2 linked regions of the Saccharomyces cerevisiae S288C genome follow. The gene in region 2 interacts genetically with the main gene of each other region. Each region holds a gene or a part of one and is shown on either strand. Other genes may lie near its edges.

The links.
Region 1: of UNG1 (region 2) and NTG2, changing one suppresses a phenotype caused by changing the other (phenotypic suppression), as found in Saccharomyces cerevisiae (one study listed by BioGRID).

What each region holds. Positions count from the first base shown.
Region 1 is NC_001147.6:247,580-251,180, reverse strand, and holds NTG2 (bifunctional N-glycosylase/AP lyase NTG2), read left to right. Parts: upstream 1-1,646; coding exon 1,647-2,789; downstream 2,790-3,601. Other genes in the region: NGL1 (RNA exonuclease), read right to left, coding at 265-1,356; PEX15 (Pex15p), read right to left, coding at 2,880-3,601. UniProt on the Saccharomyces cerevisiae protein: Bifunctional DNA N-glycosylase with associated apurinic/apyrimidinic (AP) lyase function that catalyzes the first step in base excision repair (BER), the primary repair pathway for the repair of oxidative DNA damage.
Region 2 is NC_001145.3:229,123-232,638, forward strand, and holds UNG1 (uracil-DNA glycosylase), read right to left. Parts: upstream 1,692-3,516; coding exon 612-1,691; downstream 1-611. Other genes in the region: adenine phosphoribosyltransferase APT1, read left to right, coding at 1-378; YML020W (uncharacterized protein), read left to right, coding at 2,027-3,516. UniProt on the Saccharomyces cerevisiae protein: Excises uracil residues from the DNA which can arise as a result of misincorporation of dUMP residues by DNA polymerase or due to deamination of cytosine. Not involved in strand-directed mismatch repair.

The sequences.
Region 1 (3,601 bases), on a different chromosome or scaffold from region 2:
TATACATGCTGGCATTTTTTTACATAGTTCTAATAGTATAATATACATATAAAAAAGAAAAATCATGCGTTTTATATATTTCTATAAATACATTCATACCCAAATTATGGAACACGTTCGGAATATTACTTAAAGAATACTGCAATAATGGAAAGAATATTTGAAATGAATAAAAAGTATGATAACAAGGTTATAAGAGAGGTACAAATAAAATAAAACAAGGAATGAAGAAAAAAAGCACAAAAAAGGCAAGATAGTAATGCCTCACAGTATTTTGAATTCTGTTAGTAGAGGTATATGATCACTAGGATGGTTTTCATTGGGTAAACCCAACTGATTAGACGCTAGCAATTCGTCTGATACTTCATTACCGGTTAGGATCTTAGTTAGTAAAAAATCTGAATCATGGTACCATACGTAATCAAAGATGCCCTTCAATTTTCCTGAATAGCACGTATGTACAAAATAATCCTTTGGTATATCGTCATAGACACAACGATCCAAATACGGCCTCATTGGGTTAATAAGATTAAGGTCTCCATGGCTAACTATCTGACCTTGCAGAAAATTAACAACTAGCGAATCTCTTGTAGAATTTAGATCACCAGTGAATAAAATCTTCACCCTTTCTTGGCCTTTTACATCTCCCGGTAGGAGCTGCTTAATGATCTTTGATAACTCTCTCATTATAATCATGCATTGTGTTAGCTTAACTTCGTCATATTTCCAATACAAATGAGTATTTAAAACGACAAAAATAGTACCCGTCTCCTTATGTCTTAGAGATACGAATAAGCATACCTGATTCTTGCCTTTTAAAACATCCAATAAGCTGTCTTCACCAATAACATTGGAAGCACCATCGGTTAATGTTACCTTCTTATTGTATAAGTATTTCAGTTCCCTTTGATTGAAAACATTCAGTAGCTGGTTTAAGTAGATCCCTGATGACGATATAAAGTCAAATTTTGCAAGATTATAGAAAATAGATACACCGTCCATATCTTTAACCGGTTTTTTCCAATACTTTGGGGGTGTCTTGGAAATGAATTTGGACCCATAATTGACATCTACCCCTATGGAATCGTGCCAATAATCTTCATAATCTCTTGCGGTCATTTCTTGGAGACACATAATATCAGCCTTGAAAGTATTCAAAAGTTCTTTCTCCAGCAGTCTGTGCCTATAACTCCAGTTTTTGTATGGCTCTGCAACGTATGTGTATACCTGTGGCCACATATATGACGGTGAGAGCATGTTGTATGTTAATAAAGTGAACCTAGCATCTTTTCGCACATATTTACCGATGTTTTGCTTAGTTGACTGAACAACTGGAATAAACCTTCGAGTAAACATTGTTACTTGTATGAGCAGTAAATCTCTCTCCAATGTTCTTTTTTGCCGTTATCCAGCTTAGTTTGTGTAGATCTCCTTTCTTCTCTAACAGGAACAATTAAACAACTCATGGTTAATTTGTTAGTTTTGTTGCCGAGAAATCAAAATCAGCTGGTGAAGCAGTTATCCTAACTTGGGAATATACATGTAGTAGAAAGGAAGGAAGGCAAGGACCTCTTTAGCATTTTGAATCTGTTGCTTATTGGGAGCACACAAAAAATGTATAAGCACAACGTCTTTCACAGTATATAATGAGAGAGGAAAGTAGGTCTAGGAAGAGAAAGCATATTCCTGTTGATATTGAAGAGGTAGAAGTTCGATCTAAGTATTTCAAAAAGAATGAGAGAACTGTTGAGTTAGTAAAAGAAAATAAAATCAATAAAGATTTGCAAAATTACGGCGGAGTAAATATTGACTGGATCAAGGCACTGAAGCCAATAGAGTATTTTGAATGGATCGAATCAAGGACTTGTGATGATCCGAGAACTTGGGGACGGCCAATAACTAAAGAAGAAATGATTAACGATTCTGGGGCGAAAGTTCCTGAGAGTTTCTTACCCATATATAATCGGGTGAGATTAATGAGGTCCAAGGTTAAAACCCCGGTAGATGCTATGGGATGTAGCATGATTCCTGTTTTAGTTTCTAATAAATGTGGGATACCTAGTGAAAAAGTCGATCCAAAGAATTTCAGGCTTCAATTTCTTATTGGCACTATGCTTTCTGCTCAAACGAGGGACGAAAGGATGGCGCAAGCGGCTTTGAATATCACCGAATACTGCTTAAACACATTAAAAATAGCAGAGGGTATTACGCTAGATGGACTGCTTAAAATTGATGAACCTGTATTAGCAAATCTAATTCGATGCGTTAGCTTCTATACCAGAAAAGCCAATTTCATCAAAAGAACCGCACAATTATTGGTAGACAATTTCGATTCAGATATACCGTATGATATAGAGGGAATTCTCTCGTTACCTGGAGTTGGACCTAAAATGGGATATTTAACACTGCAAAAAGGTTGGGGGCTGATTGCCGGCATATGCGTCGATGTTCATGTCCATAGGCTGTGTAAAATGTGGAATTGGGTAGACCCTATTAAGTGTAAGACTGCCGAGCATACTAGAAAGGAGTTACAGGTTTGGCTACCTCACTCACTGTGGTACGAAATAAACACCGTTTTGGTTGGATTTGGTCAATTGATCTGCATGGCCAGGGGTAAGAGGTGTGATTTATGTCTAGCAAACGATGTCTGCAATGCTCGCAATGAGAAGCTAATCGAATCTTCCAAATTTCATCAATTGGAGGACAAAGAAGACATCGAGAAAGTATATTCGCATTGGTTGGACACGGTTACAAATGGAATTACAACAGAAAGACACAAGAAAAAATAGAACCACCATTCATTGTGGAAAAAGATGAAAAACCATTATGTATGTCATTAAAATAAGTAGGTAGGGTTTTATAAACTATTCAAATATTTCTCATATACTCGCTAGAAGTTTTAGCAACCCTACAATCTGGGGGTATACAGTGTGAAAGGCCGCTGGAACATGTTTGAAAATTGCCATCAATGACTTATATTTTTTCAAACATAAGAGTAGCAGCAGACCTGTGAGCAGAAGTCCGTTTTTGTTCAGCACACTTCTTGTGAAATGATGCTTCAGGACAGCCCAAAATGAACCAGCCAGAACAGTAATATCATTGTTTTTTTTACGGGGCGCCGTTCCAGTACTCTGGAGTCTACTATCAGTAGAGGTGCGTTGATTAAACGCATCCTCAACCTTAACCTGTTCTTCACTACTATTGTGTAACATAGGCTCGTGAAAATGGTGTATTTTCTGTTTCACTCCTCTTTGTTTACCTTTAGACTTCGCCTTATCTTTTTGTATTTTATTATCTATTGAGTTCAGAATAGCATCCTCTATGGAAACATCTTTAGATAAGTAAAGGCCCTTTAGGGTTGGAGATAACTTAGGTAATGTTTTGCAAAGCGCCCAATACATATTCGGTGAGGGTTTTTTATGATGCAGTTTTACCTTCACCTGAAAGATGAATATCTCGATTAATTCTTGTAAGCCAACTACATCTATAGTTGTCCTCATTTTCGTTATGTATACGAAAATGAAATCACTCATTATGGATTCAAGCTCCAGAGTTTTTTCTTCTTGTTCGGTGTGATCAGTTAAGTTAAACTGAATAACCT
Region 2 (3,516 bases):
ATCGTCGGGTTGGAATCCCGTGGGTTCTTGTTCGGACCAACTTTAGCTTTGGCCCTAGGTGTTGGTTTCGTTCCAGTCAGGAAGGCAGGTAAGCTACCTGGCGAATGTTTTAAGGCTACGTACGAAAAGGAGTACGGTTCTGATCTTTTTGAGATACAGAAAAACGCTATTCCAGCAGGTTCCAACGTTATCATTGTTGATGACATTATTGCCACTGGTGGTTCTGCTGCTGCAGCCGGCGAATTAGTTGAACAACTCGAAGCCAACCTTTTGGAATATAACTTTGTTATGGAGTTGGATTTCTTGAAAGGCAGGAGTAAGTTGAATGCTCCAGTGTTCACTTTACTGAACGCTCAAAAGGAAGCGTTGAAAAAATGATATGTTTCACGTCCTGACCCATATTCAAGCTTCCTTTCTGCCGGTTTCAAGCAATTTATTTTTCTTACTTCTCCTTACTCTCTCAATTTGGTTGTATAATATTTACTTTTTAGATTGAAAAATATTCAATCCACTTTTCTGCTTTGTGCCACAAAGTAGTCTATTTAGTTTTTTATCTATTATATGCTTTTAAAGAGTTTGGAAATCGAGACCTGCATATGCAATAGTAATATTCAAGGGTCCTTTGATTCTGACTCTAAGCGAGCATTTGCCTCCTGAACTTCTCTTAATGACGTTCCAGGAACAACACTCCAGTCTATCATTTTCTCTCCGCGGGTATTGTATAGCCAATCGTTTATCATTTTGAAATGGTTGGTACCAAAAAATCCTCTACTTGCACTTAATGGAGACGGATGCACTGACTTCATCACCATGATATTAGGGTACTTACTACCGCTTCCAACGGAAGTAGATCCCAACAGAGACTCTACTAATTTGATAGCATTGTTCCCCCATAAGAGGAATACTAAACTCTTACCGTCGGCCTCTCTGTCCTGGATCAACAACTGAACTACCCTTTTTGTAAAAGTTTCCCAACCATGCTTAGAATGCGAGTTTGCATTATGTGCTCTTACAGTTAACGAGGTATTAAGCAATAAAACCCCTTGTGAAGCCCAGTGAGTTAAATCTCCCACTTTATTATCTTCAACAAAATCAGGATACTCTTGCTTCAGTTCCTTATATATGTTCTTTAATGACGGTGGTGCTGGTGTAGGGGGTTTGACGCTAAAAGCCAAGCCATGCGCCTGATTAAAGTTGTGGTAGGGATCTTGACCGATAATCACGACTTTAACTTTATTAAAAGGCGTTAGCCTGGTCCATGAGTAAATATCCTTTGCAGGCGGAAATACTGTATGATCAGCTTGCTCTTTAGTGACAAACTGTTTCAACTTTACAAAATATGGCTTTTTAAATTCATCCATTAAATGTGGAAACCACGAATCATCAATCGTTTCTAGCTCCAGCGACAGTAGTGTACGTAAATTGCTGCTCAAGTTCTTCGAATATACATCTTTTGCATTTGAATTAGCAGGATATTTGTCCGTGTTTGCCTCCTTTGCGACCGCCTTTGTCTCTGTCTTGATAGCTGCGCCATTTGTTATGGTCATGAAAGTAGCGCCCGATTTACCTTTCTTATTGGGCGCCTCATTAGTGCTTTTCTTTGTACCAAAGAAGTCTTCGATCGTAGTTTGCTTTCTCTTTCGAGCCACCGTCATAACTGAATTTGTTGGCAATCTTCTCATGCACCACATGTATGTGAACGGCTTGTGTACAGCTTCTGATAATATATATCATTATGGATGAATTACGCGTTGCGGACACATTCCAGGTTTTGACAATAGGGAAAATATTGAGTTTATATGTAAAGCTTTTTACAAGTCACTAATGTGAACAACGTGAGGTAATTCCATGGAAAGTTCATATAAGAATAGTTCGAAAACTATCTTTTTTATTCCCACCAGTCACTAGATTCGGCTTTATACATATAGTGGGCTTATCACTGCTCTTGGATAGCACTTTTGCACTACAAATAGACACCATTACGAAGAATTGGAAGAGACTTATATACAGAGTACCAGTAGGTAGAATGGTCACGACTCCATTGCATTCCTCGCCGAAAAGCAGTCTGAAATCTTCAACGACCTCACTGCGCTCAGTACATACTCAGTCTGGTCGTATGGGGCCTAGTGAGCCTAAGCACAGAACAACCAAATCCTGGTCTATATGGGGAGGTAATGACGAGGAAGAACCGGAGTTATCTAATAAAAATAAAGGAAAGGAAACCGCCCAAGACAACAGTCAAGAAAATGACAATGTTTCAAATGAGGGAACACGCTTGCACGATAATCAACAAACAACGATTTTAAAGGAAACCACCAGGATCGAGAAGGGTGAGAAGGACAAAAAAGACAGAAATGCAGCTATAGTAGAAAAAAACACAAGACCACGAGCATGGCCATTCTTTTGGGGCCGTAACAAAAAAGATCCGGAGCCGACGCATAACATTCCCACTGATGCGGATAATAACACTTTATCACGTTTAGCAAATAGTCTAAATCCGGCTCCTCTAACCAACACTTACATACCTTATAAACCTGATGCTATATTGATCAGAGATAAAGGTGTCAAAACTGCTAAGAAATTAACAGATGACATAGGCAATCAGTTTCCTAACATTGTTGTACCAAGTTTCGATATTTTACCGAAACAAACCATATGGAATACAGTCACATCCACAATTTGGAAGTGGAAGACTGAATACTGGGATAGAAGACCTTCATCAAGGGTACGAGAGGGGGAAGAACAGGTGCAGCACTCACAAAATCAGTTAAAAGAGGAAACAAACACAGTTGCAAACGAGGCAAAAGATGAGGAGCGGTTGGAACACAACAGAGGATCTCTATTTAGGGTTGATCCATGGAAAAAAATAAACCTTCTATCAGATTACCAATCTAGGCCCATCAGAGTTCTCATTGTCGGCGTTCATGGGTTCTTTCCAACAAAAATTATTAGACCGTTTATTGGTGAGCCAACGGGTACATCTACCAAGTTTGTCACAGAAGCTGAGGAAATAGTGAAGGAATATTTTGATCAACATAAAGTACCCATTGAAATAAGCAAGATCGCTCTTGAAAGAGAAGGAGAGATATTTGATAGAGTAGATTTCTTCTACGAAGTTATGAAGCATTGGAGCAAAGAAATAAACAATTCTGATTTTATTTATTTTGTTAGCCATTCGCAGGGGTGTCCGGTAACCATTATGCTTTTAGCGAAGCTGATCAAAAACGGCATAATAAACCTTGATAATTCTCAATTTTTCAACGATGAAATTCAGTTTTGTTCGTCCAAAAAAATTATCTCGGTCTTGGCCATGGCAGGTATCAATAATGGTCCATTCTACGGTGCAGATCAAACTTTGTTTGTTCGTGCTTACCAGACGATTGAAAAAGACTCATTGAGGGAGTTATTCGAGTTTCAAAAGTTTGATTCCAAACAATCGCAAAGCTTCATAGAAGGCCTAAGAACAATCATATCAAATAACGTTAAGATTACATTTGTGGGATCCATCAATGATCA